Linked DNA regions of Oreochromis niloticus. The protein of the gene in region 2 purifies or fractionates together with the protein of the main gene of each other region. This does not show direct contact. Links are inferred from orthologs where the notes say so. Each region holds a gene or a part of one and is shown on either strand. Other genes may lie near its edges. The genes, in order: rab10 and rilpl1.

What was found.
Region 1: the proteins of rilpl1 (region 2) and rab10 purify together in Homo sapiens (co-immunoprecipitation; 3 studies listed by BioGRID and IntAct, with this or other methods). This does not show direct contact. The link is inferred for Oreochromis niloticus from reciprocal best matches to the Homo sapiens genes RILPL1 and RAB10.

Annotation. Positions count from the first base shown.
Region 1 is NC_031980.2:17,348,204-17,364,766, forward strand, and holds the start of rab10 (ras-related protein Rab-10), read right to left. Parts: upstream 8,608-16,563; 5' UTR 8,009-8,607; coding exon 7,882-8,008; intron 1,129-7,881; coding exon 1,068-1,128; intron 1-1,067. Other genes in the region: kif3ca (kinesin-like protein KIF3C), read left to right, coding at 13,150-14,559. UniProt on the Homo sapiens protein: The small GTPases Rab are key regulators of intracellular membrane trafficking, from the formation of transport vesicles to their fusion with membranes.
Region 2 is NC_031972.2:11,429,776-11,446,250, forward strand, and holds the start of rilpl1 (RILP-like protein 1), read left to right. Parts: upstream 1-10,577; 5' UTR 10,578-10,880; coding exon 10,881-11,168; intron 11,169-14,327; coding exon 14,328-14,475; intron 14,476-15,349; coding exon 15,350-15,468; intron 15,469-16,475. Other genes in the region: hip1r (huntingtin-interacting protein 1-related protein), read left to right, coding at 218-318, 425-530, 3,700-3,823, 4,292-4,353, 4,622-5,203, 5,302-5,337. UniProt on the Homo sapiens protein: Plays a role in the regulation of cell shape and polarity. Plays a role in cellular protein transport, including protein transport away from primary cilia.

The DNA.
Region 1 (16,563 bases), on a different chromosome or scaffold from region 2:
CAGAGAAGCAGAGTATCCGTTACAGTTTCTGTATTGACCTGAAAGGATTTGACCAGAAACGGTCTTCTTGTATCGTGCTAAAATGTATTTGTACCTTTGTAGATATCATGTTTTCTACTTCAGGTTATGCATCACAAAGCTCTGATTAATTTCTTTTTAATGTTACTATAAAAAAAAAAAATGTCCATATCATTCACCATTATCAGTCACCTTTAAATAACTGGCTCCTTGTCATCTTGTAGCTTCAAACCAAACTGCTTATGTCTTATATCTTTTTATTCTGGTTACTATATTTCATTTCTTCTTGAACTGTCATTCCCAAAAAGACTGCCTCAACTGGCCTACCCAAACCTTTAGTTGCACCTCTGTTCATTACACAAGCACAAATAATGCCTTTCTCTTACATGAATCATTTTTTATCTTCATTACTTTTACTTGATTCACCAACAACTTCAAATCTGCAAATTAAGCTAATTATGGGATTTTTTTTTTTAAATTACCAAGTCAGAAAAGGATTCCACAGGAAAATTGTTTTTTTAACCAATCCCAAATGCTTTCATCCTATAGACTCATACGAATTAGACCAAATACAAATCAATACTGTTATACTATGGACAATCTGCTGTACAAATGCATTTTTTCTTTTAATTCATCCTGTTTCTCTCTGTAATACTTAGAGACAATTTGTAATTCAAATCTAATCAATTTTACAATTGCCAAACTTAACCAATTAAAGGCTCCAAAATATGAAGATTTATGCATTCCTTAAGCATTTGGGCCTTACTCAATGGGCGCTACTCATGTGGGGGGAAAAAAAGAAAGAAGAAATAATAACTCTTCTGGTATGGACAACAATAACCCTACAGCAGACCTAATGGACTGATGATCATTTCCTGTTCCTGCATATTTCAGTGCTTAAGGGAGGTATGTCAAACAGATGTTTCATCATGACATAACTATTCACAAAAGAGGCAACGCTGAAACACGATTCTCACAAGCTTGGTGTGTTTTCCGCATCTGCACAACACTGGCATGCAAACAAAAACTCACATCTATAATTGACTCACCAGATCTGTAGTTTTATCTTCTTTCCTTGTAATTCAACAGTTTTGATCTTGAAGTCTATTCCTGCAAAACAAAAAACAAACATGTCAGCTTAAACAATATCCATCACTTGTAGAACATCAGCCATCGTGAATAAGAAGAGAGATGAATGGATAAATGGCTCCAGCACTGTGACAAAGAGAAAGTGAAGGTCAGAAACAGATAAATCAACGACAGCGGTTGAGCAATGGCCACAAAAACACATTCAGCAGAGAGAAATGGGACGTGACTGACAACTGTTGCCATCATAGAAACAATAGCATTATCTCTTCCTGATTCTGCAGTGTCATTCTCAGCAGACAGCTGTGATCAGCAGCTGGGCAACAACGGGTGCACACAAACCGGGTCACTGAGGTCAAAATTATACTTGTTTTCAGACAGCTGTGAGTATTTTTTTAAAAATAGATATAATAAACATTTTGACAATGTATATATAGGTTGCACCTTGTAGTGCATTTGGTCCTTACAAGGTTGAAAAATAAAAGCTACTACGACTAAAGCGCACTAGACCGTATGAGCCAGTAAATACTGAACTTGTACTCTGGTGCACCCCAAAAAGGTTTCGGGCTTCCCCTCAAAGGACAGTCACCAGGGTTGTTTTTTTTACATTTTGCATTTTAAAATAGAAACAGAAAATTTCTACAAATTTATGATAAGTAAGCAAACACAGGCTCATCATATTGCTTTAACAGTATGTGGAATAACTGTACTTACTGGTACCGTTTCTCATCTTAAAACATTATATTTTCTGTTTTGTTTGTTTAATTGTCACCTTTGGGCTACTAATACTAACACCCACAGGATATTTGCCATTCACCATTAAAAACTAAAATATAAGATGAATGCACTGCTACCAAAGTCCATAGTTAAGTAAAAACTGAACCATATTTTTGCTTTGATTATCAAATTTACATCACTTGAACCCAGGAGGACCCTCACATCCTCTCAGGCACTACTCTCACAACTGTAAAACTGAGGTGGTCTGAAATAAGAGTTTTTTTTAAACTAGTACTTTAAGTGTTTTTGTAATATCTGAGGTTTCAGCCTAAGGTTGTTTTTTCCCTTTTTGGTTGGAGATTGAACTCGGGGGAGAAGTTTTGTGGTGCTGCAGTGTGCAATCTTTCCAATGTCGATGTTTTCAAGATTTACAAATAACTGTCAAGCAGTGGAAAGTTACTGAAGCTTATTTTTCACATTCAATGGAATTTGAATTTTATCATTTGGGAAAAAAGGGTGTAGAGCTACAGTTAAGGGTAGAGGGGTTACTTATTAAACAGGGGGCCAACTTCCCTCATGTTTTTCTTTCGCTTAGTTTAACCTATTTATGTCCTTTTAAATCTGTACTACAACAAACAGCCAATGACTCATGATATTACGGTAACTGTTAAACACCTCACCTGGGCATATGTAGGATTTCTGCATTTCAAAACCATAATGAACTAAATAACAGTAGGGGATTTTTTGACTCAAACCAATAACTTCTCTCTCTTTGGAAAAGCTAGAAAACATAAGAAGGCAATTCAACCATCAACTTCCCACTTGAAAGTAAAACACACTAGATCATTATCCTCTTACACTTTAAATGTGAAGGGTAGGTGATTCATCAGTTTCATTTTTAGCCAACAAGTGGTGTTTTCCTACTAAATACTGAGCTGTCAGTACTGCTCTTGGTCAGACGTTGTGGTTGGTTAAAAAGTCCAAGAAACAGCTGTGCTCTAGGTGGGGCAAGTTTATAGAATAATGAGGAAACTGCCTGCCAAAACCTGAGTCATGAAATATTATGCACATCCCAAGGAGAGAAAGATACAGTTGGACAGAAAGAAAGGCTAGCATTTAACGCTGGTAAAAGAGGGAGCTTTTTCTACACAACAAAAGTTAAGCTCTTGAAGTCAGCCTCAACAGGGATGACGTGTTACTAGTGAGGAGAGTAAACACAGAAGTTCACTCTTTTTACTCTGTGAAGGGGAAAAAAAGAGAAAGAAACAAGTTATGCGCATTGTGCAATCACGGATCATTTATCCAATCAGTGGAAAAACAGTTATACCTATCCTGTAAAGAATGACACTTTCCATGAGATGTGACTGTTGAGCTGGACGCAAGCGGTTTATGGTCGGCTTTCTTTCTTAATACCAGAGGAACCATTCCTTCCACAAGTATGAAAGCCACTGTCTGCTTCTGCCAGTTTCCGCGCAAAATTCATCAAATGGAAAAAGATTTCAGTCGATACTATGCATATTCACTCACTTAATAAGCGTAATGTGTAAGGGAGGGGCTGAGAGACGGACTGGAAGCAGGAATGAGTGATGGAAGAGAGCAGGGGGGGTTTCCAGTGGGGGTATTTTGAGAAACAGCTGTGAATCTGTGTCTCCAATGGTATGAGTCCTGTGTCAGAGGAAGAACACATTCCCATTTCATGTCCTGCTTCTGCCGTTGGGAGTTTTGTTCCTTTCAGCTTTTTAGTTTAGGTGTTTATTAACTAGTAAATCTGGCCCCTTTAGTGGAGGATTTCCTAAATGTAACCGAGAGAAATTTTATGGCTTCTCTGGAATGTTATATATAAAGCTACTCTGGAAAAGCTTTTGTCAACCTTATCTCATATCTTGTAAGCATTATATCAAATTAAAGGCCATTTTATCTGTTGCTTAATGTAGTGATACGGTTTAAAAAAAAGAATAAACATCACTATTTTTCGAAGATCGCGAGAAGTCAAATTCTAGTATTTAATTAGCTTGTTTCTTTGTGCTAATGAGCTGTTGCACAGGTACAGTTAACACATGTAGCTTTCCAACCAAGCTTGCTAGGCATTAGCTGATATGTTAGGTAACAGAGCTATCAAACTAACTTAACTCCTGGCTCCAAAAAAACAACATGGTGGCAGCCAAAACACTAACACTGAAGCTTCAAAACGCTAAGTCCAAAACTAGAGAGTAACATCCTGGTGAATAGCTCCTTCAATAGTTTTTGACCACTGTCTGGTAGGATATAAGCTGTGGATCCAATGTAAAGTTGTCTCCCACCAACCACTTAAACAACAAAAATAGAAGAATGCACTACTGACAACCACAGATCAGGCTGGTAAAGTATGTGTGGCGCAGTGAGAATAGATGATATTGTACAAGCAGAAAAAAAAAAAAAAAAAAAAAAAGGAAAAAATTGTGTAAAACTTCTTCAAAAATTAGGTGCGGTGCATAAGCCACCAGGTAAAGCTAGCATGTCAGGTCTGCCACAGTGGCACTGGTACTGAACAAGAAACTGACAGTTTCTAGTGAATACTGAAAACTATTTCTGCTTGATAAGCTCATCCCCAACCTCAAACCACTCTTAGGTGACTGTACAGTTGTGGCAGGGTTGTCACATGCTAGTGGTTTCATTGGACCCCATTTTCATGTTCAAACCTAGCCTCTTGACTAGAGGCATGACAGTTCTGAAAATGAGATTGAAATCATATACAAACATCCACAATTTAATATTGTGGCTTCCTGTACTGTGATATCCATGTGAAACTGATGAAGCATACTAGTCTGGTGAAAGCAGTACAGATTGTTCAGGTGATGAGTGAATTGCAAATACAGTCTAATTTTTGTTCATGTTCAAGTGATTGTGTTTTCCTTGTTGTTCATACATTCCTTATAAAACCCGAGGCACAGACTGAACCATTGTTTTGGTTACACACCTACTCTTTAAACATTTGCAAGTCTGTGTTGGATTAGATATGTATAAATGTGCCTACATAGATATATATTCCAGAGACATTTATACTGCACAGTTTTGATGTATCACCATAGACAAGACAAGATTATTTAAAATAAATAAAAACAAAGGTATCTATCTACTGTTGTCTTCTTTTAACTGTCTTAGCATTGATTTATCCCCCCCCCACCCCACCCCCGCATTTTGTCTGCAACTTTTAAAAAAAAAAACAAAAAAAACCAGCTTCTTTTTAACAATGTTTGGGTTTCTAACCTTAAAAATACAGTAATTTTTACAGTATCCAGTATGTATTTAACCTTTACATACAAGTTATTGGTATCTTGTAATTATATGATTCGCTAGAACATTATCAACTGTACTGATTGAAATAATCTTAAAAGTATAGTTTTACAGATTTGCTTTGATAACCATATACACCACTCTACGTACAGATTACGTGACTGGAGAAAGATGACATGTTCTACATACAATTTTTACAGCTTATCACACTGCATGCGGCTTTGTTTTGAATACAGATGTAGAACAAAGACAAGAGACGAGCCAAGAGCTTTCAAGCGCACGAACTATGCTGCAGTTTTATAGAGGACTCTGTTCTTTGATTTTCAAGTATTTCCTCTTAAGTTTCAAGTTGACAGATCATAACAAACTGAACACTCTAAAACGATCACTTCCTAAACTAAACTGACCACAGTCAGTGTTGTCAACACTTTCTTTTCAAGCACTTGTGACTGATCACGTTGATACTTTAAATACCTTCATAACCAACATAGTTTGTTCCCATGTAATTACACAGAGAGGTTAAAGCTCCAGCAACACTTGCAATATACAGAACTACTTTATTATCTGACTGATGCATTTTGGCTTGTGAACTTTGACCTTCATGAGGGACAACACATTCTGACTTTTTGTTCTTATCCATGCACCTTGGAAGTAGGTGAAGCTGTGCCAGATAACACTACTCTGTTTTTATGAACTACACAGAAACTGGGTATGTTTCGGGGTTTCCTGCCTCAAAAGGGACCTTTAAGGGCGATGACTACATCTGCACACAGTTAAAGCATCAAGTCTGTATTTACATTCCCATTTAGTTATGGCCATTTGATAAACAAATATGTATTTTATGCTTGAGTAAAAGAAACACCACATAAATAAACTGAAAGGTACTTTCATTCCAACCCTATTGATTTTTAGTTTTGATGATGATATCTTTTTTTTTTTTTTTTTTTAATTTGGAGGAAAATCCCTTGAGTTTAAGGTGTGAATACCTCCAGCACCATTTTAACACATTATCCTCAGCTGCTTCACATGGAGGAGAGTACACAGAGTATATAGAATATATTTAAGAAAGCAAATAAAGCACTGGTAGCTGATTTAAAAACATAAAAGTACTGACTTACTACCCATCTTGCCAGGAAAGCACCTATGCAAGGAGCAAAGGTCACTACCGGTCTCTACGTGCTGAAGAACCTGTTAGTCTGGACCACTTTTTCCCCTTCATCCAACTAACACTACACATTTCTTCCCTTAAGTGACACAGATCTGATATGGTGGCTTTGACTCAAATAAAACACATAGGCCTAAATCTTGTTCTAACTGACTGCATGCTGAGAAACAACATGGGGTGTAATAAAACAAACACCCTGCAAGTCAAAGCAAAACTAAAGGAATGACAAAAACAATAAAACGAGTACATGTGACATGAAGATTTACAACAGAGTGACAGGTCAGTGCTCTAGCTGAACAAATCTAATCTAGCCTGGATGCCAGTGAGAATACATTTTCCCTTTACAGTTGTGTGCTTTCGGCTATATAGCGACAAAGAGCACGGCTTCAGATGAAAGCTCAGTCCATGAATCAAGCACATAACACCAGCACATTGCAGTCGAGCAAAGCACGTTTTATATTACATTATTACTCATCGCTAATCTTAAGCAACAGGAGTAAATGGAGCCTTTACTTGGGCCATGCAGGGACTTGACATAGTTTGACACTTGACTCATGTGAGCGTGATGTTTGGCGCATGCGTGAACAGGACGGATGGGGGGGGGGTGATGATGATGCCATCATGATGAATTCTTTATGGTTCTCACTGGAGCACTTGAGCAAAGTAAATAAGTATATTTACTCAAGTATTTAGAATACAAACTATAAGCACTTCTAATTTTAAAAAGAAATTGCAATTTTCAGCTGCTTTTATACAGTTAGATTCACTATAGTCAGAGTTTTCACCTAAAACGTCAATTTCTTACATGATATAATCAAGTTCCCAATACGAGAATGTCCAAGTTGATTAAACAGCTTCACCTCCATTACTATTAGCGGGGACAACAATCTGAAGCATGAATCCTGTCCTTATCTTCAACGTCATGCTGCTCTGTTGTATCTTAATTGCCGCTTGGGGATAAATAAAGTCTTTCTGATTCTGATACCCATGAAACCATGAACCCGTGAATAATCACACCTTCAACTTGTGATAATCAAGTAAAATTTTGCTTTTACAATCAAGCATTTCTTGTTGCTTCAAATCAAAACACTCATACATTTGTTGCCTTTAGGGTGTAATTCCTGACAAGGACTGTGCAATAAACCTATATAGGCTGATACTGAGAAGTAAACACCTGTCACTTAAATAGACAGGCGATTTTTTTCTAGTGCAGCACGGCCCTGTGGTGCTACTAGCCTTGCTAGCTTCTTAGCCTCTGGGTCAAGTAAACTGACAGCAAATTTGGAGACTTAACGGGCTGTAATCATTGCTGCCCAGTTAAACCAAACCAAGAAATAATGATAGCGTTTTGTTATTAAAGTCGCAATCATGTGAAAATAATGTGCAAGTGATGGTTTAGTAAGAGCTCATAAAGGCTGCACAACTAGCTTCCCAGCTAACCTGTACAGGCCTTAGAGAGAGCTGCTGCATGCTCATAGCACACTAGCCACCAACAAATCCGTCCTGCATACAGCCTCCAGCTGCAGGGTACGACCAGACGAGCCTCACAGCTGTCACACTACCTCCGGCGGATGCAGAAGGGTCAACGAAATCACCTGTTACAACGCCCGTGATCTTCTTACCTATGGTGGAGATGAAGGTTGTGTTGAAGGCGTCGTCAGAGAAGCGGAACAGCACACAGGTCTTCCCCACGCCCGAGTCGCCGATCAGAAGCAGCTTGAACAGCAAGTCGTACGTCTTCTTCGCCATTGAAGAATCAGTTTGTGTTCACCCCGATAGATACAAAAACCGATACCCTAGAGTATGCCTATGTGAAGTCTAAAGCCAGCTCCTTGGCCAACCTGACCAACAACTGTCCTCTTGGCTGTTAACAGTTAACAAACTGTGGATTTGTTGATTAGCTTTGGCAAGCTAGTTGGCTAAACACCACCCAAAATAATGTGCCTGTAGAGTCGTCCTAGAAGTTCTAGATTCCCAAACCCGACCGTGGTACCCCCCCTTACAGCATGAGAGCAAAAACAGGATCTCCTTCTGTGTGATACCTCTTTTTCACTCTTTCTTTTCTCCCACACAGTCGGGACAAAATGGCTCCTCTCTCGCACTCTACCCCGATTCACTCTTTCTTCAAACTAACGGCGAGCTAATTCAAATTCTCGGCACACCCCGTCATTCCAGAGCCCTGGGACAAGCTCGACCGAGAAGAAACTGGGAAAAATCACGACATGAAAGTGCGCCGAATCTGCTGTCTGTTCCAAGTAATTTCGCTTTTTTTTTTCTGTAGAGATTAGACCGAAATACAGACGACCGCCGTCGCCTTCGAATGGGAGCCACCGCGGCGACACCCTAGACTTTTTGGCACGCCTTCTCCCGCCCTTTCTGTCAAAATTCACGGCTCTGATTGGTCATTTCAGCTGTCGCTCCTTCAAGCGCCCTAATCTGAATGGCTATCCAAACAGGCATTGTAGCGGTAAAAAGGGGGCGTGTCTTAGCCTGACAGAAAGGGCAAATGTTACTGTGTAACATACGCTGACATTTAGGCTCAAAGCACCGCTTATATCTCACTGTGAAATCCCGCTAGTGACCCAAAATGGCGACGAGTTTCATGCGGATCTCTTGTAGCCGGGGTGTGTTTCAGCTTTCATGGCAAGCTGGCAGTTGGTGCGGTGACTATCCCAGCTGTGAGTCAGGCAAAGTGATGTCATATATAAGTACTTCTGTGCTTGTTACGGGCGTTTCCCACATCCTCTGCTCTGTGAAGTGCAAGGTCACTGATCCTCTAAAGTCTTGTAATAAGTATACACACCGAGAGACAGTCTGCATGTACACATAACTGCTGTAGGGCCTTTTAGAGTTGGCTTTGTGTGTATGTGAGAAAGAAGGAGAGGGACTCTTTCCTTCTTCCGCCTGTCAGAGTTGTTTGACTCTCAGACACTCCTTAGGAATGCTGAGTATGCCCTGCTTTCCACTGCCAAGTACAGACTTGACGCAAACTGGGGAAGAAAGATATGAAGAGAGAAAAAGAAGTCAGAGAAAAAGAAAGTTTGAGCGGGGCTAAATAGTCTATACTGCCACTCCAGCAACTCTACGTCTGCTACAGAGAGCTGTCACAATGCCACCAGAGTACTGAACAAACTGAAATTTGACCACATTGTGGTGCTAGATGAAAAGCCTGGAGTTAAAAGTTCCTCGCCACATTGCAGTGGACCAAAGTCAACAAAGCTTCATCGCTCCCTTTACTTTTTATGTGCCAGCCAACCACAGATCTTCCTCAGGCAAACACCCACGGGAAAGAAAAGAGTTATCCACTATATGGAAAATTAAGAAAAGACACACATGCTCAAACCTGCAGTCAATAAGATACAAAGTGATTCATTAAAGTAATAAAGTATAGGGACTATAATGAAAGCTTATATACTTTAAGTGATGCAGTGAATACACACATTGTTGTTATGATCTGTTTACTTAAATCCATGAATTCCTGCACAGTTACAGGATCCATGATTTTTCCTGTCCGGAAATGGGGAATCATTTATCTCAGATTTTCTTTATGTGTCACTTGCTAAATTAGAACATTTTTTTAATACTAAATGAATCACTGCATTCTTCCTCCACTGTTAGGAAATCTTTTTCACTCTAATAAATCAACACAGAAATTCTTTCAGGGGCCCTCGGGGTTTGCCTCGCACGAACAACAACTCTCAAATTTCTTCCTTCTGCCTGTGATAAAAAAAATTAAAACGCTCTATTGGGGACGTATTTATTTTGTAGCTTAGATGAAGAAGATATGCAAGTTGATTCAGGCCTCAAACTGTTTGGCTTGGAACACTTTGATTTTTTGCGCACTGGTGCTGAAACAACTACTTGATTTACCTATTCTACTTTAACTACTGACTTTATCTACTGCTCTGATTTTATCTACTGTTCTGATTTTATCTACTGTTTTCATTTTTGATTTTAAACACTGTTTTGTTTGTTTGTTTGTTTGTTTGTTTGTTTGTTTGTCTTAATCAATTTTAGATCATGCTTTTTATTTGTTTTTGTTTTTAATGTCTCTGTAAAGCACTTTGAATCACCTTGTTGTTGAATTGTGCTATATAAATAAACTTGCCTTGCCTTGCCTTGCCTTGCCTATTTTGGTCCAACAATAAACTTCAGAAACCTCATTTATTCAGTAGAAACCCATAAATTCTTGATATATTAATGGGTTTTTATTTTTATTTTAAATCAGCTGCTTAGCATTTTTATAATACAAATTACCCGCAATCGCATCCAGATATTTACTTCACACATAGCTGGATAGTCTGTGGTGAGCTTGAAAAAGCCTTGGCTGTGAGTGACTCATGAAAGGTGACACCGGGATCACCTGAGCCGGGGGAATTTTCACTACTATTATGTGTTATTTTCATCAGTTCAGTACATTTACTTATTATTGCTTCTCCGGGCACATTAAACACATCTCAGTGCTCAGTGAGGTGTTGAGTCATTTGTGTCCATTAGCTTTCCCACCGTGTGTTGAATTCCCCATGTGGGGATTTGGGCATGTGATTTTCACCTTTTTGTCAGCGAACACGGGGGTTGGGGGAAGTAGTTGAATGTAAGTTTCGGTAGTTTTCCAGAGAATCGCTCCGAAATCACCTACAACGTCACCTCCTCCATTACACCTGGAAAGACTACTCACGTGAGTCCTCTCGACCTACTTGGGTGACTTTTAACGACACACTTGATCCAGCAGAGGGCGCTAATGTGTTGCACTTGAATGCTCTTAGATGAGTTTTAAAATGATTCATTTTACATTTTCCCTCCTTGCCCTAAATTTTTGTTGCTTTGGGACAACAGTTGTATACAAACTGGAGTTCTCTCTTCAATAGATGAGTCATGAATTTGGGAAATTACTCCGTTTCTTGTGTAGCCATTTAAATATGAGTTATACTTCCCGGATTCATCCAAATCAGAAGGAAATTATTTTTTCTTTGACATAACTCGGGGATCTAGTGACTATACTTACACAGCGCAGAGTCACCTTTCTGGCACATTGTTTTTTTAAATAATTAACTTTTTTTTTACATAAAACATTTAATTAATTCAGGTTTTGTTGTTCACGCTTAGTTATTTGCAGCACAAACAGAAGAACAAACGTAATTATTGCTTATATATTTTTAAAATAATTTCTGCACATATGGGTCCTGTTTTAATTATGTTTTTATTGATACTGTACAGGATTAGATCATAATTCTTTATACTCTTTAATTAATTTTTTTTTATGATGTCACTATAAAAAAATGTACTAGTCTTTTTTAACATTACTCTAGGTGAAAGTAAGAGTATGTAATTGATAATAGGCCTTATGACTGTCTGAAAACTGAAAACCACTTTCCAACAGATCCCGGTCTTTACTGTAGGTGTGGACCTTTGCAGTGTCTTTGCTGTAGTTAATGTTGCATTCTGAAAAATGCTGCATAATCCCCTTGACAGATGCATCTATTTTTTTTCTTGAAAGCCACTGGACAAAAGTCAGATTTTAAGAAAAGCGTCTGTCACACAGTGTTGACTTGAGAATACGTGGCTCATTAGAGGAGGGATGGTGCTTTTATTTTCCTTTTGGAGCAAAATCAATCAATCAAAAATAAACTACAATAATATTCTCTGTATTTTTCTTGCAACAAATCTATTTCCACTAAAGTATCCAGTGCCACTCCTGTTTGATCACATCACCTTTTTATTGTGTTTTTGTGCAGTGACAGTGTGGCTTCTTGAATATCTTCTGTCTCTATTATTGTGAGAATAGAGGTAATTGAGGTAATTGCACAGAAGCAGGAAATAACCCAGCTGACCCTTCAGTGATCCAGTAAATACAGACTCCTGCTGGGTAACCAAGAACTCTTCAAGGGCCAAAGCTTTATTTTAATTTTAGAGGAGATCCCATGTTTCTTTTATTTTCCTACAGTTTGAAAATAAACAGCTAGATGAACTTTTCTTTATGACAACATCCAGTGTGTAATGAGAGGGTTGTGTTTAATTTTCCCAAGCTTAATGCACTTAAATGGGAAGCTGTGTGGGCTAAATGTCGGTGCGAGGGCTATAATAATACATATGAACTATAATTTTAAGAAAATGTTTCAAATTATGGGGGCATCCACTGTGTAAACAAACACGCAAACGGTCCAGTTTAAATTCCCAGCTGTACAAACCATCCATGACCATTTAACGAGTTGGTGGCAGCCTTGGACAAGAATCGAGTCTTTGGCGAGGCAAAACTCTATTTCCCATGATTCTTTGTTCCACTCCGCAGTGATGTGGGGTGTGGTGGTGGTTGAATGACTGTGTATGTGGGTTTGGGGTGGGAGGGGGGTGTACAAGAGGGAAGCTCTGTCTCTCCGGACGGACCGAGAGCTGCAAATCCACCTCGGAGCATCTCTGCGCGGAGGACGGGAGGATGCGTACAGCGGTCTGCCTCGGAGCTGCACGCCGAGGACGATATGAGTGTGATGTCTGAACTGATTTGTGTCATTACCGGCGTTGTTGGATCTTTTCTTTTTTCATCGGACTGCAATGGAGCGTCGATCCAAAGCGTGAGAGGTGCTGATCGTCCGTCTGCTTGTAGGCTCATTCACGCACAATAAGCCAAGGAAACTGGCTGTTACACACAGTGGCAATTCATCATCTGTATTGGTAAATATCTGAGTCTATGCTATTTGGCACTGTGGCTGTTTTCCATTGTGATATGACCAAGAAGCCATAATGATTTTTTTTTTTTTGAATGAATGATTTAAAGAAACACATGCAGTTAACAGACGGGATATATGCTCATTAAGGGCTTCAGAGGGCTTTGTGGACTTAGATAATACACATTTACCCTTTTTGTTGTTTGCAACGAGTAACAGAAGCCAGTCATGTCAAAGAACAAGAGCAGTGAGTCAGTGAAGGTGGTAGTTCGATGCCGCCCTTTGAGCCGGAAAGAGGAGTCCAATGGGCCTGCAGGGGGAATAGTGCAGATGGATCTACGGCTGGGACAGGTAATCCTCAGAAACCCTCGTGCACCACCAAGCGAGCCCCAGAAAACATTCACATTTGATGCAGTGTATGATGCAAACTCCAAACAGCGAGAGCTGTATGACGAGAGCGTGCGGCCGCTGATAGATTCAGTGCTGGGAGGGTTTAATGGCACCATATTTGCCTATGGGCAGACAGGAACTGGGAAGACATACACCATGCAGGGAGCGTGGCTGGACCCAGAGAGACGAGGTGTGATTCCCAATGCCTTTGACCATATCTTCACACACATCTCCCGCTCCCAATCTGACAAGCAATACCTAGTGCGGGCGTCCTACCTCGAGATCTACCGAGAGGAGATTCGGGATCTTCTTGACCCCAATCACGGCAATGCTAGAGCCCTGGAGCTCAGAGAGAATCCAGAGACTGGTGTGTATGTTCAAGATCTCACATCCTGTGTCTGCAAGAGCATCAAGGAGATTGAGGAGGTGATGAATGTGGGCAATCAGGCGAGGGCGGTTGGGGCAACAGACATGAATGAACATTCGTCCAGGTCCCACGCTTTGTTTTTGATCACTGTGGAGTGCAGTCAGCCTGGGCCAGATGGGAGGAAACATATCCGGGTTGGACGCCTTAACTTGGTGGACCTGGCTGGCAGCGAGCGGCAAACCAAGACCGGCGTTCAGGGCGAGCGCCTGAAAGAGGCCGCCAAGATCAACCTTTCCCTGTCAGCACTGGGAAATGTTATCTCCGCTTTGGCAGATGGGCGCAGCGGACATGTGCCGTACCGGGACTCCAAGCTTACCCGGCTGTTACAGGACTCTTTGGGCGGGAATGCTAAGACTGTTATGGTTGCCACACTTGGCCCGGCCCCCCAGCACTACGACGAGACTCTCACAACCCTTCGGTACGCCAACCGGGCCAAGAACATCCAGAACCAGCCCAGAGTCAACGAGGACCCCAAGGATGCTCTGTTGCGGGAGTTCCAGATGGAGATTGCTCGCCTCAGGGCCCAGCTCAACCACAGGAAGTGGAGGAGCAAACAGAAGAGTGAGCAGGTGGAGGACGAGAGCTGGGACGGAGACCAGGAGAAAGAGATTGAGGACGAAGAGGACGAGGAGGTCGAGAAGGAGGGAGAGGACTACGTGAAGCTGGAGGAGCAACGGCTAGAGAGCGAGAAGGAGGCCATTAGAGGAGACCAGGACTTGATGGCTGACGAGAAGCAGAAACTGCTGGGAGAGAAAGAGAGGATGATGGTGGATCTGAGGAAGGAGCAGGAAGCCACAGAACAGCTGACCGCCAAGTACAAGGTGAGTCCAACCAGGTGGTTTACTTGTTTTTTTTTAATCTTCTTGTCTTTCTTTGTTCCTTATTTGCTTTCTTTCTTCTTTTATCCATTCCAGACAAACACACACAAAAGACAAATTGAATAGTACATTCTGAGGCCATAAAAGAAGAGAGCAGGAGATTAAACAGTGAGAACAAAAACTAGAAACAAATGGTGAAAAGTGTAGAGAGATGCCAAAACTCCATAGGTGATGTTAGATGGTGCTACACATTGTATTGGTGCAGAAATTCTCTGGATTAAATTAAAAGTACTAGAAATAAAACAAATTTATTGGAAAAGTTAGTGGTTAAAGAATTAAAAATCACAAAAGAGACATTTAATAAGGTCCAATAAAACACTTCCTATTCATTTATTTTGGACTTTAAGATCTATTTTGTTAAAATATACATGTAATTGATCTTTTCTCCCTGATAATGTTAGCAGAAGCTTTTTGATATTGTACAGTGATGATTTCTGAGAGTGGACTGGCGACTTGCCCAGGGTGTATGCCTCAGTAACAGCTGGGCTAGGCTCCAGTGTCCCGGTGACTCTTAAGTGGATAAGCGGTTAAGAAAATGCATTGATCGATGATTTAACAGTTTTATGATTTATTTGAATAAATGTTAAACCCTCTTATTGAATGTCATCTTAATGTTTGTTTTAAAGTAGAAGAAAAGAATCCTCTTATTTTAGGTTTGACGTTTTATTCCAGAGGGCCATACTCTCTCTGAAAAAGGACATCTAAAGTCAAACATGACACACATGGTGCTGAAGTATGGTATTCAGTTAATTTGGTGGACATGACAGATTGTTTTACAGGCCTGAATACCCAAAGACTCGCTGGAGACACACTTCTTGAGATTCATTAACACAGTGTTGGATTTGATTGATTTTTCTCTGTGGTTGTTGGATTGAGATGGTGCGCAGGCTGATTCGGACCGAGGGTCGTATTTTGCCCACGTCTCCTTGGACCCTTACTCTAATCCCAAATATCATAACTAAAGGCCAAACTCTGACCTTAACCTACACTAAAATGTAATCTGAAAGTTTTAACCATACAAACATCCATCTGCAGCTGTGCTTCAGAGTAAATGTGCTAGCTAACCTTTACAAAGTGTTCTTATTAGTGGCCCAGTGGTGTAGTACATAATTCAGTACATTTAGTACATAATTTAGTGTGGTACATAATTCCCCCTAGGGATCAATAAAGTATTCTGATTCTGGTTCTGATTCTGATTCTCTAGTGTAGCATTTTACACCTTTGCCTAACAAGCAAAGGATCCAGTTCCCTTTGGGGTTGCATCAGGAAGACCATCTCTTCTTCTACAAATGTTGTCACCACTACTACTGGTTTGAGTGTTCTATTAGAGTTAAATTAGATTAATTGACTAATATATAAAAACATGAATATCAAATGAATTGGTCATTGTATTGTTTTTTTTTTTTAATTAAAGGAACTGATTAAGCCCCAGTCTGTTTAATTGCTGCACTATCAGCACTCTGTATTGCTGTACTCTACCATAGTTTGTGTTTATTATCCTCAGGTTTGTTTTAAACGTTTACTGCTAATCTGATTGCTTATAAGGTATAGAACCAGTGCAGTCTCACAGCAGTTTATGAAATAGTCATTAAAATTAATATTTTATACTTTTAAAGGGCTAAAGGTTTGGATGCTGAAGGGTTGGTATTGTGGTGAATCATTTCACTGCTCATACACTGCAGACCACAGTTTGGTTAGGCAATATAAATACTGTTTTGGGTTTAGAAAAAAATCATGGTTTGGGTTTAAATACAGTTGTTACCCTCTTTCAAAGCTATTCTTTTCGGTTGCTATGGAGATCTATACTCTCTAATGTGTCAACATATGTGCTGCACACAGGAACAGGTACTCCTGCTTCCTCCCACAGTCAAAAGACACCTATGTTAGGTTAACTGGTGGTTGTGAGTGTGAATGGTTGTCTGTCTGTCTTAGCACTGCACCCCGCTG
Region 2 (16,475 bases):
CATGCTGCGAATAGTGTCTGTGATGGAGGGAACAGAGACTCCAATTATCTTCTTCAGTATACCATTTGAACAAATCTTTGAACCACTAACAGTCTTACCTTTAAATTTCAATATATCCAGTGTTTTAGCATTTTGTTAAATTTTGGCAATGAGCAAGAAGCAGAATCTGCAGTTGGTGTTTTATCAAGTGACCCATTTGTTCCATTTGTGCTGGCAGGGTGCAGCAACTGTTACTGAATTCTATGCCAAAAACTCTCGCTGGACCGAAGGACTCATCTCTGCTTCCAAAGCTGTGGGCTGGGGGGCCACACAGCTGCTGTAAGCTCAGAATTTTATCAAAACCCACTTACTGATTGATATTCTGAACAAGAAATTTGTAAATAATAAATAAAACTGTATAATGATGGTTTACTTTCATGTTTAGGGATTCAGCTGACCGCGTTGTGGGTGAAAAGGGCACATATGAGGAGCTCATCGCCTGTTCACATGAGATTGCTGCAAGCACTGCTCAGCTAGTTGCTGCTTCCAAGGTACAAACTCATGTCAAACAAATTCCTGTTGGTTTGTTAGGTATCAACATACAAAGTCATGTTCAGGCTCTCGAATCTTGAAGCATATACTCCAGGAGGAGTATATGCTGTAGAACTTATAAGGCTGGTATCAGAGGCATTCCCTAACACTGGTGAGCCAGCAATGTAACTCCTTGTTGCTGGTTTTTATCTACTGCTTCAAGCTTTGGAAGTTGCATGTAAGTGGGGATGTGCACAGGAAGCTTTAACACTTATTCCCTCACCTGCAACCACATCTTATGCTCGTATTCCTACCACAGAAATTAAACATTCTCAGGTATGGTGTCTATCAAACATGAACAGTCTCACTCATATTCATGTGTTGGACCAATTTATGCTATAAAGCATCTAGTCACCTAGTCACCTAAACCCAAGTGTCTGCTAACACCAGGTCATCGTACTCTAAGGAGCTTGGAAAGAAAAACGTCTGGACTTCTTAAAGTTTCCTTGAAGACGTTTCACCTCCTGTCCGAGAAGCTTCGTAAGTTCTAAGAGCAATTGGTGGAGTCCCTGATTTTAAGCCCTATGGGAGTGTCCCCAAGAGGGTCAGAGACCCCCTGTTGATCCTCTACCTAATCACATGAGCCAATGAGTGAAAATGGGTGTGGGTCGCAATCAGCCAAGGTTTTGGGTGAACCCAGTGTGAAACCTAGTCCCACCCTATTGTGTGATTTACTGAGGTCAAATGGGTCAAAGGAGCTGGTTCCACAGAAGAGGGGCCTGAAAGCTGAAGGCCTTTCCTTCCCCGTCTACTTTTAAATATCCAAGGAACCACAGGAGTACCAGCAGTCTGAGAGTGAAGCTCTCAAATCTGGATTTAACAGGGAGCCAATGAAGAGAAGCCAAAATGGCAGAAATATGTTCCCTCTTTCTAGTCCCTGTCAGTTTTCTCTTTTCTGGGTCAACTGAAGGCTTTTCAGTGAGTTTTTAGAACAACCTGATAATAATGAATTACAGTAGTCCAACCTAGAAGTAATAAATGCATGAACTGCTTCTACATATTTAATATGCATTTTGAAGGATATATCCAGGTCAAAAATGACTCCAAGATTTAGTCACTGAAGGCCACAGTAATGCCATCCAGAATAAGAATCTGGATAGACATCATGTTTCTAAGATGTTTTGTTTTTTTGTTTTTGTTTTTTTTGAGAGCAGAGTACAGTTACTTCAGTTATATATGAATTAGCCTCCTCAATATTAGAAAAACATCGTAGCATTTTCAACTTGAATTGTTGCATACATGTCATGTCAAAGTAGGTGTGGCAAACATGGTCGTGGATAAAATAATGAATTTATTGATACTGATATAGCCCACAAATATGTTACTATGAGTTACTAGCTGTTACTATCAAACTTAATATAATTAATTAAGGATTTTTTTTCTTTTGTCTGGAGTTTGGCGCCACCTGCAGCACAGTTAAAGTACTGATAACCTATATTTGGTCTGTACCTGGACAAGAGTGAGGCTATTCAGTTTTGTTTTTTGTTTTTTAACAAACAACGAAAGTGAGCTGGATCATATGATCCACTGAAGGAGAAACATGGATTATAAGAATTTAAATGTAACAGAGTTCCTTTGGCATGATTGTAAACATGATGTTCATGCACAAAAACTCTCCAGTGTGGCTAAAACAAGAGGAGTGGGCTAAAATGCCTCCACGGAAATGTGGGTTAAATTACCAGGTGAACAAACACTTGACAACAAACAAACAATTGTAGTTCCTGCTTCCAAGGGTGGGACAACCAGTTAAAAGGTTTAGGAGGCAATTACTTTTCACATAGATGGGCGAGATGGGTTTTAGTAACTTTTTCACTTAATAAGCTAAATCACCATTTAAAAACTCCTTTTTGTATCTACGTGGATTATTGTTGTCTAATATTAAAATGGATTTGATCTGAAACCTGAGAAATAATCAGAAAATAGGAAATTGGGACGGGGCAAATACTTATCACAGCCCTGTACTTCACTATATTTATCAAAGGGCAAAAAAGAATTGGACACGTATCAGCAATAAACTGTTGTCAGTGCAAGTTAAAGCAGCTGATAGTGGCATACATATATGTCAAATGGGCTCCAAATGCCAATTGACAACACAGTGTCATTAAGCACAATGTTAGAAACATAGAACATAAAGGTGATAAAAGAATGTGTGCAATGCTCTACATTCAAGTGAAAGAACGTCATACAAAGCATGAAAAGAAAGGGGGGGAAAAAGTATCTGCTTATCCACAGCATTACTTGGTGTTCCACCCTGATTCATATATCTGTCTGGTTCTTAGGAAATTTCTTAACAAAAGAGATCTATTAAAGGCTATTTTACGTTACTAGGTTAAATATGCCAATGTTCAATAACAGTTCTTTTTACACCTTCAGATGGATGTTTGGGGGTCAATAGGTCACTCTCCACTACATCTTTAACTCTGTCCAAACCATCCTCAAGTAGCTACAGGTTTTCTCTGAAATTATTCTACACACAGATGTGGTCCTCAAAATTGTCATTACTGAGTGTTCTTCTCAATCTTTATAGCTGAATGAAGAGAAGGCTGTTTTTGCATTATGGTGAAGCTACTAAAATGTAGAATTGCCTTCCTGTCTGTTTTCTATAAATACAAATATGAATTGGTTTGTTTGATGTTTTGTTTTTTTCAAGCAAGTACACCAAGGAATAAAACAGATTCACTACTGTCCCGTGAAAAATGCACAGTTGCGCATTGATGATAGTTGCTTTGCTACATTTTGGCTGGAATTGGATTCTTCTTAGTCTTTTTGCGTTTATGTGACAGTGGAAGTTACTAGTTACTTTCCAAATTTGATTTCTCAATAAAACCAAAAAGACATGTTTTTTTATGAAGTGAAGTTTCCCTTTTAAGCCTTTCAGGTTTAAAGGGAAACTGCACTTCAGTGACTGAGTCTCAAAGAGGTAGTAATAGCCATTATTACATTAAAACCTAGAACAAAGACAAAACATGCATACAGCTCTGTGACTGTGTAAGTACTTAGAACCACCTCAGCCAGCATGGTCACCGAGTTACATCCTTTGAAATGTGCCTGCTCTGTGCCCATACATGCACCACATTGCAAAAAACTGTCCTTATGGAAGACAAACTTAAGTACTGCTACTCATTCCAGGTGAAAGCTGACCGCAACAACAAGAAGCTGAATACGCTGCAGCAGGCCTCAAGGCATGTAAATGACATGGCTGCTGTGGTTGTCACCTCCACCAAACATGGGCAGCAGCAGATCTCTGACCACGGTGAGAAGAGAAGCTCATATTGCAAGCAAATAGTTGATGCTTCATATTTTTAGTAAAACTTTATGATAACAGCATAGTTTTGTCTAAAAATGGCAGCATGCATGTAAGCAAACAATAAATCTATACAATTTGGTGAGTGCAAGTTTAACACTTACTTTAGCCCTTTTTTTGGTCTCTTATTTCTGACACTTTCTGCTGCTTAATACTTAACTGTGTTTAACAGCGAGCCAACCTGTCTACCAATGAGCATAGCATAGCTGAGCTAGCATACAGCTTTAAGGCTTGTGAGGGGTTTTTGTTCCTCTATCTCATTAGTGAGTTTGATCAGCAGCAGTTGACCATAAAATCAAACAGACTAATCAAAATGTTTAAATGCTTAAAGTAACCATGAAATTGGCTGATCATTCTGTGATTCACCTCTTGCATGATACAGCTTTGACACTCCAACTGATATTGTTGCCTTTACAGGGTTGATGGACTTCTCCGGCATGTCTCTGATCAAGCTTAAAAAAGAAGAAATGGAAGCTCAGGTCAGAACAACATGTCTCTGAATGGATTGTTTAATTGTTTGTCCTTATGTGCAACTTGCTTGTTGTCCTGGATCATGTGTAAGACAAGTATAAGACAAGTTGAGCCACCTTTAAAGAAACAGTATTGTGACTATGTGAAATCAATGTAGTTTAAAAAAAAAAAAGAAAAAAAGTTTTGGATCTTAGACTGGATCTTAACTGACTGGGTCATTGGGTTTTTAGACGTCTGGAAGCCATTGCCAGATCTTGTGCTCTTTGAATCTTTCAGGTTAAGGTGCTGCAGCTGGAGAGCCAGCTGGAACAGGAGCGAGTACGTTTGGGGGAACTGAGGAAGAGGCACTATGAGCTTGGTGTGTCAGAGGATGGAGGGGATGGAATTGATAGCTTCCCACCACCGCCACCACCTACTCTGCTTGACTCCACGGCAGTGCCTCAGTCCTTTGCACAGACACAACCTTATTCAAACACCCCAGGTTTTTCACAGTCAAATCCCTTTGCACCGAATCAAACACAGTCCTCCTCTCTGCCACAGTCTTACACACCTTCTCAAACCTACACACCTTCTCAAACCTACACGTCTTCTCAATCATACACGCCTTCTCAATCATACACGCCTTACCAGCCCTATATCCCGCCTCAGCCTTTCACACCATCTCAGCCCTACACTCCAAACCAAAGTAACTTAAATCCTCAATCTTATTCATTGTCACAACCCTCACAACCCACATCCAGTCCTGCTCAGCCTAAACAGACCCAGGCTGCCTCACATAACAGCACAGAGCAACACCACAAACTAAGCCTAAAAAAACCAAATATCTTTACCAAATCTGGGAACTTGCTGAAGAATGCGGTGAGTGCTTCTCTTGCTAAAGTTTTATAATCATCTCATCCCAAAGCTAATTGGAGTAGGTGGTGTTTACATGAGTCCTGTTTTTCTTCTATTGGCAGTTCAAACGGGGTGAACATGGAACAGGAGAATCTTGAAGCTGACTGAAGAAGAATCTGACTTAAAGATTTAAGCTAATCACTCACTAGAGGAAAAAAAAAAAATGCTTTCATATTTTGGAAACACTGACTTTTACTACATGTATCACTTGTTAAGGCTCCTGAAAATGTTGTGTAAGAGGAATTTCAAATCAACATTTCTTTGTGCTTTAAATTTGGTAATTAAATGGTAATATTTGAATTATAACACTGATGGCTATATTATCTGTGATTGATTAAAGATTAGAAAATTGTCTGAAATAAAGCTGTATTGTTCAGTTTTCTTTAGGTTTTCTATTCACAATATTTTAACCATTTTAACATTAACGACAACAGCACTGGATGAGTGTCAGACATTAACAATCTTCAAAAATGTTTGGTGGCACAACAGCTTCCACCACGAAGGCTACGTTATCCAGGCATATCCAATCAGGAGGAGTATATGCTGCAGAACTTATAAGGCTGGTATCAGAGGCATTCCCTAACACTGGTGAGCCAGCAATGTAACTCCTTGTTGCTGGTTTTCATCTACTGCTTCAAGCTTTGGAAGTTGCATGTAAGTGGGGATGTGCACAGGAAGCTTTAACACTTATTCCCTCACCTGCAACCACATCTTATGCTCATATTCCTACCACAGAAATTAAACATTCTCAGGTATGGTGTCTATCAAACATGAACAGTCTCACTCATATTCATGTGTTGGACCAATTTATGCTATAAAGCATCTAGTCACCTAAACCCCTCCTACCAAGGAAAAGAGTGGTAGCAGATGCTGAGGGCCAAGTGTCTGCTGCCACTGATACTGAGGCACACCAACAGGTGCTGCCACCTGCTTATAAACTCCCAAATGCTATGTGAATGCCATTGTTGAGAACACTGACAAAATTTGTTTATGTAGAGAGACGTATTAACTTAAGCTCAACACTAATAAAACGGCTCTTGGTTGCAGCTCCCATGGCCCTAATCTGGAAGATTAGACTATTCATTGATGTAGACTGTTGCACCATCTGGCTATGCCCAGAAATTTGCCACCTGGGTGTCATTCTGGACTTAACACTTTCATTCTATAGGGTGGGCCATTTATATGGATACACCGTAATAAAATGGGAATGGTTGGCGATATTAAAGTCCTGTTTGTGGCACATTAGTATATGTGAGGGGGCAAACTCCTCAAGATGGGTGGTGACCATGGTGGCCATTTAGAAGTCGGCCATCTTGGATACAACTTTTGTTTTTTCAATAGGAAGAGGGCCATGTGACACATCAAACTTATTGGTAATGTCACAAGAAAAACAATGGTGTGCTTGGTTTCAACATAACTTTATTCTTTCATGAGTTATTTACAAGTTTCTGACCACTTATAAAATGTGTTCAATGTGCTGCCCATTGTGTTAGATTGTCAATGCAACCTCTTCTCCCACTCTTCACACACTGATAGCAACACCGCAGGAGAAATGCCAGCACAGGCATCCAGTATCCGTAGTTTCAGGTGCTGCACATCTTGTATCTTCACACCCTAGACAATTGCCTTCAGATGACCCCAAAGATTAAAGTCTAAGGGGGTCAGATCGGGAGACCTTGGGGGCCATTCAACTGGCCCACGACGACCAATCCACTTTCCAGAAAACTGTTCATCTAGGAATGCTCGGACCTGGCACCCATAATGTGGTGATCTTGCTTCCATCTTGCTGGAAAAACTCCGGGAACGTGCCAGCTTCAGTGCATAAAGAGGGAAACACATCATGTAGTAATTTCAAATATCCAGTGGCCTTGAGGTTTCCACTGATGAAGAATGGACCCACTGTCGTCGTACCCCATATACCACACCAAACCATCACTTTTGTTGTTCCAACAGTCTTGGAGGGATCCATCCAATGTGGGTTAGTGTCAGACCAATAGCGGTGGTTATGTTTGTTAACTTCACCATTCACATAAAAGTTTGCCTCATCACTGAACAAAATCTTCTGCATGAACTGAGGGTCCTGTTCCAAGTTTTGTTTTGCCCATTCTACAAATTCTGTGCGCCGATCTGGGTCATCCTCGTTGAGATGCTGCAGTAGCTGGAGTTTGTAAGGGTGCCATTTGTGAGTAGCTAATATCCGCCAAAGGGATGTTCGACTAATGCCACTCTCCAGTGACATGCAGCGAGTGCTACGCTGTGGGCTCTTGCTAAATGAAGCTAGGACAGCCACTGATGTTTCTTCATTAGTGACAGTTTTCTTGCATCCACATTTCCAAATCCAAGACTGAACCAGCTTCACGAAACTTAGCAAGCAGTTTGCTAACTGTAGCATGGGAGATGGGTGGTCTCGTAGGCTGTCTTGCATTGAAATCTGCTGCAATGACCCGGTTACTGCGTTCACCAGATATCAACACAATTTCGATCCGCTCCTCACGTGTTAACCTCTTCGACATGTCAATGGCTGTGAACAAAGAGAAACTTGTAAATAACTCATTAAAGAATAAAGTTACGTTGAAACCAAGCATACCATTGTTTTTCTTGTGACATTACCAATAAGTTTGATGTGTCACATGGCCCTCTTCCTATTGAAAAAACAAAAGTTGTATCCAAGATGGCCGACTTCTAAATGGCCACCATGGTCACCACCCATCTTGAGGAGTTTGCCCCCTCACATATACTAATGTGCCACAAACAGGACTTTAATATCACCAACCATTCCCATTTTATTACGGTGTATCCATATAAATGGCCCACCCTGTAGATGCATATAAAATTTGTCACCAAAGCAGTATGTTTCCACCCAATGAACATCTCTTGACTTTAGCCATCCCTCCCTCACTCTTTAAAAGAGACCCTTATCTTCTTTGTTGCTGGCCTTGGATGTTGGGATGCCCTGGGATGTGGTTGCAGTAGGCCCACTTATTCCCACTGCGTGGCAGGGTACTATGGGGAATTGAGGTGCCTACTGAGCCAGCTGGAGCCTACTCTCCTTTCTCGCCTTCTCAATTTTTACATCCCAGCACCCACCCTCTGTTCATATACACATCAACATGGATCGATGTGTATTTTGGTGCATTGTTGTGTCTGTATGTCTGGTGTGTGTGGCCAGTATATGTCTGTGTCTGGGGTTGCTGTGCCTCAACTTCAGTACAACATAGTCATAGAGGATGAAGGGTTGCTTCACCATGCATGAATGCATGTTATTCATTTTTAGTTTTTCTCTCTTCCATATGCTTCAGCTTTATCCTTTCTTTGTTAGTCACAGTTTTTGCTATTGGGCTTAAATTTTTTTTACATAAACACACAGTGGTCATTTTTCACTTCTTCACTTCAGGATCTTAGCATTAGGGTAGCCAGCTAGTGATAACCTGTTCTTATATTTCTCAAAAATCCACAGTTTGACCTCTCCCCACATTTCAATCTTCATTTCTCAACATAGTTGTCAGTGGTCTGTACAGGGTCTGATGTTTTTGTGTTTATTTTCTGTTCCTCTCTCACTTTGTAAAAGTCGCTTTGAGTTCTAGGTGGAAGTGGGCTCTGTGAGTTCGCCTGTGTTCTTCTATTTAGATTGTCCTTCTCATACCTGAGGGCTGGATGGTGTAGCAGATCTCTGCCAGATTGTCTTTGCTATGTCTCTGCTTTACATTGACTAACTTTGTTACCTTGTTGCCAGTCTGTGCCAAACCTCTCCTGTTCTCTTCATGCTGCTCCGAGGAAATCTGAATGCACCATCAGCTGCTTATCACCAGAATCTAGCACCTATAAGGTGAAGGACTTTCCAGAAACTTGCTTACCTGCACAATGACCCTTCCTGGTCCTCAGCCACTCAAGCCCTCAAGTAGCAGAGTTAATCCAGTTCTCTAACTCTTTCCGCAAAACACATATCCTTCTTAGCCTCAGCTAATTTCAGCTCCCCCAAAGACTGTAGAAATGGGCAACACGGTGGTTAGCACTGTTGCCTCACAGCAAGATCTTCATATATACATTTAACTGACTTCAGTATGAGTGTCTGGTGTAAAGTAAACCTGGGACAATTTGTCAACAGATTTGTTGACAGAAAATTTACAAATCTAAATGTTTAGATTGCTGGTTTGTTTTTTCTTCTTTGTTAACATTTAGAAATATTTCTTTATATATCATTGTTCCTATTATTGTTATTATAACCCAGTGTTACAATGCATATAATATGACGTCAGTAAATATGAATGTAGTTCTGTTATTTCTGTTGTCAGTGATTCATTAAATGTTCAAAGACTCTAGGTAGACTCTAGGTACGTGATGCGTTGTTTTAGGCGTTAATCGTCTCTTCGTGCTGTAATATATTCACACAGCAACCTCGTCCGTCTCTTATTTCAGTCATGCGCAATACAAACTGCAACCTCACCACTATGGAAGTAGCCACTGTGATTCACGCAGGGACCAAACAGGAAGTAAAGTTAGGGAAAGGCAACCGGCGTTCGACTTCATCATATTCAAAATAAAAGCACTAATAAACGGTACAAGGCAACAGTGTAATCACAACTGGTACTCTGTATAAACCTGATGCACTGTTAAATTATTGTTTTGTCCATTGAGATAAGACTATTGATCTGCATAAGAACAGCAGTGGATACAGTAGGTCATGGGCCCTCATGAACAGCACATGCAAAAAGTGATGGTATTACTATACCATCACCATACCATGGTATTACTAATGACATGGTGATGCAAAATATATCAGCGTTTCACCACGTGTTACTTCGGGGTATGTTGAAATTTTCTAAGGTAGGCGCTTTCAGTGTTTCATATTTAATTTTAGCCTTACCCACACTCCCTTTTGCCAGGCCACCATTTTAAATAAGAAGTTCTTAAGGCGTCGCTTTCAGGTATTACCTGAAAGGATGACTCGGCCCCGTGTTAAGATTCTGTTGATCTTTCTTCAACACCATACACAGATGTTTTGACCATAAAGTCATAGCAGTTGTTTCTTCGTGTTCAGCTGGAAGCTATTTAATTTTGGAAAGGCTCATTTTGATATACAGGAGTCGATGATAAGTGTGCTTCTAATGTTACTCTAATGAATGAGCCTTTACTTTTCGTTGTATAAGAATAGAATTAAATGGTTTTTACATCTTTACTTAAAAGTAACGTTTTGGAATCTTGTTTTTATTTGTTAAAAAGCACATTGCTTTGCTTTGCATTAGTTAAAACATCTCAATTATAAATATATGAGAAGAGGTTGGAATATCTTTCTCCTTGCGGGTTTTATTTTGAAACGTGCTGCCGAAATTGTGAAGTTTACTTTTGTAGTGGTTGACAGCGGTAGCTGCTAGCTTACAGGGGCACCGCAGCTCCAGCAGGACAGCGATGGGACTTAGGCGATATGTATCTCAAAAAAATCAAACGGAAGGCTGGACTGAGCCGCTAGTGATGGATACGCAATAGTTTCAGTGTTATATGCTGCTTTAAGGAGTCTCTGGACACCGCTTATCAAGCTGAGGACATAAAGCGTAACTTAGCAGGCTTGTTCTTCACGGGGGAGGAAGTTTGTTGCGGCGAAGGGAACATAATAGGAAACCGGGGAGGGACAAAATATCTCGACATGGAGGACTTCGGGTCGGCCCTGGAGAAAAATGTGGCTGACCTCACGGTGATGGACGTGTATGACATCGCCGCAGTGGTGGGGCAGGAGTTTGAGCGGATCATAGACCAGTATGGCTGCGAGGCTCTGTCTAGGCTCATGCCCAAAGTGGTGCGGGTCCTGGAGATCCTGGAGGTGATGGTGAGTCGCAGCAGCATCAGCCCGGAGACCGAAGAGCTGAGGCTGGAGCTGGACAAGCTGCGTCTGGAGCGCATAGACCGGCTGGAGAAGGAGAAGAGGCACAGAAAGGTCTCACACTGCACAGCCACAGAGCCAATCACTCTCTGCTCTACAGAATAAAAGTGGAAATCAAGATTTAATTTGTCAGTGACTGTCATACTATGTTTTTGATCCGTGTAGGTCAGGACGTGTTCAGATCGTCTTCCTAAGACGATACTAATACCACAGTAAAATGTCCTGCATTTATAATGTGACCCGAGTCAAAGTAGTAAGTGTCACTCTACTCTAAAATGAATCAGGCACAAGAAAGTTTTGGATGCTAAACAATGTTAAATAAGTTGAACAACAACAACAACAACAACAACACCCCCCCCCCCACACACACACACACACAAGTACACAGAGTATTAATATGATCCATTACAGTCAATGTTGTATAGTAATATTTTGCACTCAACCATAGAAAAAACAAAAGAACACAACAAACAGTAAAATATCTATAAAAGCATTACAAGGCACGTGGATAGTGGTAACAATTACTTAAGTAAAAATCCTATAACAGGAAGGATAACCTGCTAAAAGAGCCTTTTTTCATTATATTTAAATAAAAGCAAGTACTGAAGTAAAACATGTATAAAATGCTTTTAGTGCACATTATTAATGTATAACACTAAATAGAAATGCACAAAATAGTCAAAAAATTAAAACATCATAGCTGCAGCCATAGTAAGTAGCATTTTTGTGTTTCAGCCAGAATAAATGGTGGACATAAGCTCTAAGAAGTGAAGCAGGAGGTGAAATTTCTAAACCTTTACTTTTTTTAATAGATAGCAGGGGGCAGTGACTCTGGTTTCAAACTTAAGTTAGATTGGAAAGAAGTCTACGATAAAGTGATCCTGTTTCTGACATGATTTATGATCTTGGCAAACACTTACTTTGTGAACTTATGATCTGAATTGCCTTTTTCAAGTCTCATTTAATAACAGATGATGTTAATTTAGTAAATTCTAGTAATATTTAAAGTAAAAATGACAAATCAGGTTTGGGGTGAGGCTTACTTTGATTGTATGAATACAGTGTCACAGTATGGCTGTACGTAGTATCATCAAGCACTCCTGTCAGATCAAATCCTTGATCATTATGTCCAGTTTTAAATACAGTCTGTGGCTGAAGTTGGTCGAGGTGGAGCTCCAGTGGTTGAAATGACTTTACATACAGATAGTGCTTATTCTAAATCTAGATGTAGATTCATCCAGTGTGGTAGTGAGGTGAGTATAAATTATTAATTCATATTCATTGGTGTAGGAGTTGGGTAAACTTTAGAAATGTCTAGGAATGGGTTTCTTTTTCCAATGGTTCAAGAGCCACTAAAAACAATTTATGGAGTAAAAATGTATTCATACACCATGAAAGGAAAAAAAATCATCCTTAACCACGTGCTGTATTTTATAAGGCAATTATATATTTGTATATAATCTGAAAGTAGCTATAGCTAGCAGACATAAAGGAATTGAGTAAAAAGTACATTTCCCTTTCGAATCTAAATGTAAAGTATTATGAAATGGTCAAGTAAAATATAAATGCAGTGCATTAAAGCATCGAGCTTTAAATGTTTTCATTTATTTTCCATCTTTGTGAATCTAAAAGTAGATCCTATGTTTGGGGTTTGAAATAAACCGGACACTCAGACTGCTCAGCGCTATAAAAAAAGTTAGTGTGTCAGTTTCTCGTGACAGTGACTGAGCCACTGGTTCACATATTAACTGTCTCGTGACCGTGATAAAGTGGAGAAGGCTGTTTGTGCTGCAACTCACAGGCCATTTGAAGCCAGCACCGTTTTCACATGGAAATGAAAAGCTCACATCCACAGTGAAAATATGTGGTGTAGTGTTTATTGGCTCTGTGCACAGTTTTCTTTTGTGTATATAAAAGCTAATGTAAGAGTTGTGCAGCAGTGTATATAATAAAACTTTGTGTGGGTTTTTTTTGTTTTGTTTTTTTCATGAACCCAATGACTGAATATGTAGCATATGTTGCCCATGTGTAGTGCACATGCTCCCATACTAAGCTTCCACTAAAATCAATGAAACTGATTACAGCAGGCCTCGGAGCAGTGTGGAATGGCACATGTCCACAGAATCTGTCATTTCCACACCTCCCGTGCACAGTCTGCGTAGCCTCCCGTGGTACCTTCCATCATGGTAGCAACCAATGTGTCAAATTTTGCATGTTTACAATCCTTAAAAAGTCTTTCAAATTCTCTCTTGTTGATGACTGTAACTCTTACTTTTGCTCAGAATCATAACTAGCTGTCCAACAACGATTTGGATACAGTCACCTCTGATATCATTGATAATAAAGATTTAAATATGGAATCACATCTGAAAAACATGCATCACATTTTTAAAGTAATAGTGATGTTTACCTATTCATTCACAGGTACACTGGAAAAATGAAGTACAAACAGCAAATTATGCATTCTTGTTAATGCGGCTGCTTTAACAATATGAACAGAATGACTCATACTTCCTGTTTCCTGTTTGTTCCTGGTTTTCCAGTTGCTATATGAATCATTTAAGGTCTGAGTGACTGACTTGAAGAAGATGTTTCGTTTTTGGTATCTGCCAAAATTTGTCCACAATTTAAAGCAAGACAGTTCGACTGTGTTTTATAGGCTTTTGTCATTAACGCATTACTCTTTGATTTGACGATTGTGTTCTTTAAAAGCAAATTACTGCAGTACATTCTGAAAGTTACAGATGTTGAGATTTCTTTTTCTTACACATGCGCATAAACCACACAGAGGAAAAACTCAGAAGACCACAGCAGTGCCAGTTTTGTTTTGTAATGCCGGTCTTCCTCTGGGCACCATAAATGCTTGTAGAAACTATGTCCATCCAGTTTTTGTTGAGATAGTCAGGACCAAAGTGGAGCAATGGGTTGATCCTCCCATTACACAACCAAAATTATTGCGAATGTTTGCACTGAAATTGTGATCTTGTTAGCTTTGAAATGGTTCCTTTGAACCAGGGAAGCAGGTCTGTACATAAGTGCTTGGTAATATTGCTTTTATGTACAATCACCTTGCAGTCAACCTCAGGCAGCAAAAAATCTCAATGCAATCAGGCCTTCCTAGTTTTTTACTCTAGTGTTACTGGGCCATAACAAATGTGATCAGTAGTGATATATGTACAGCATAACAGTATGTGCGTATGTGTCTGAGCGCAGGAGTTGGAGCTGGTGGAGGATGTGTGGAGGGGAGAAGCTCAGGATTTGCTCTCCCAGATTGCTCAGCTGCAGGAAGAGAACAAAACCCTTCTCACCAACATGTCCATGAAAGACCCCATGAGCGAGGAGGAGCTGCAGAGGCATGAGGGTGAGGATGTGGGGCTCCATCAAAGCAAAGTACTGTCTACCTTAAAAGAAAAAGAAAATGTGTTATATTTTTTCATGATACACACCAGTTTACAAGTGACTGAGAATGTGAATGACTTACAAGTCAGTTGCTTTAAAACATTATTATTAATATGTGTTATTCACTAATAAGTGTTTAGAAATGTTACTGCCCTATACGCAAATCTTTGAGACCAAGATTGAATCGAGTCAAAAGTAGGCTCATTGCCATCACTTTTCAGGAACAGTGTGGTTGTGCATTGGTCCTACAAAGAGCTTTGCAGTTACCATCGGATTTCTGAAACATGTACATGGGTAATTTTTTTTTTACTAACACTGTGAGCATGTGCCTAATAATAATTTCAAACAACAGACTCCTGCTTCAGTGTTGGGAGTCTGCATGCTACCACTCGAAACCTGCTGATACCTAGTAATGTTTACATCACAGCAGAGCATGAAACAGCTTGTCTTTTGCTGATTTTCCTGGAAATTCAGTTAAAGTTTGTGCCGCGTGTGGTCCGAAGCTTGTCCGTTTGCCCTCGATACGTTTCTCATGTGTGTCCCTCTATCTCTCTCTGCTGTGCACGCAGTACCACACTCAGATACAAACACAAACAAAGGGAGCCTTCTCTGTGTTAATGGTGAGCCAGTCTCATCCCTGCGTCAGAGGCTTCTCCGTGGTCTCACACAGAGGCCACAGTCACCCTGACGCACAGACCAGCTTCAGTGTACAAGCACACCTGCAAGCCTCACACACAAATCAGAGCTCACGTCTGCCTGTCAGCCCAGATGAAAAATCTATCTGTCCTGTTTATTTTTATGGTTGACAATTTTTTTCCTCTGTCACCCGTTTCCAGGTATGTCAGAAAGGGAGAGGCAGGTGATGAAGAAGCTCAAAGAAGTGGTGGACAAGCAGAGAGATGAGATTCGAGCCAAGGACCGTGAGCTCACTCTGAAAAATGAGGACATAGAAGCAGTAAGGACACAAACTTGGTGCCTCAATGAGAAGAGGCTGTTTTTTTTCTTCCTGTGTGAATTATAAAGAATTCAGATATTTTCTATATTTTAAATATAACAGAGGCCTGGTTAGATGGAGATGAGCAGCAACTGTTTTGGCTCAGTATTGAGGAGACATATATTTGCTGCCAGTGTTTTACTGTTTAAAAAAAGGTTAAAAAGCTCAGGGAAAGAACAGAAAAAATAATAATCTTAAGATTATCAGAGTGCCCGAGTTCCCCACCTTCAATTTCTAGCTTCCCACCTCAACATAGGCTAGGAAACCCTGGAAATGAGCAAAGTATTTGTTTATTTTCTTACATAATTTGTGCAAAGTCTCAAATAATTTAAGTTCTTTATCTTGATAAAGAACTTCAAACCTTTGAAGTGGATCATACCAGTCTCAAAAACAAATAGCCTACATGTATAATTTACAAAGTCTCTCTTTATCAGATGCAGGGTGTTTGATGTGTTTTGTGTGGCTGTATTTCTTTTGTATAGATTAGGTTTCAGATAACAAAGAGACCCCACCTAAACGCGACAGTGTAATGTGAACAAGCCAGAGTAAAGGTCATGCAAAGGACATCACTACAGACCAGTCTGGATTGTGTAGCAAATTGAAGACATGGCCATAGATCTGGAAAAGGTCAACGAGTCAGAAGCTCACATAGAGGACTAAAATTTCTTCAATAAACATGTAGAATTTCACAAGATGGCTTTTCAGAAAAGCCCTGGATCTGTTGATCTGTAATTCCAGTCATGCCAAAATGTATTGGTGCAAAATGCAAATATGCAGGTTTTTGGTTCTCTCAGAGTGACAGAGGTTATACATGTTACAGAAGAGGTTACAGAACTCATCTTTTGGCCTTTTGTCATAGCTCTGCTATGAATATGGAGGCACTTTTTAAAAAGGATGGATGAGTCCTGGATGAGGTGGTGGATAAAGGGAACGTAAAAATGCTGTGGCCTCAAGTTCAGGATGTTGAT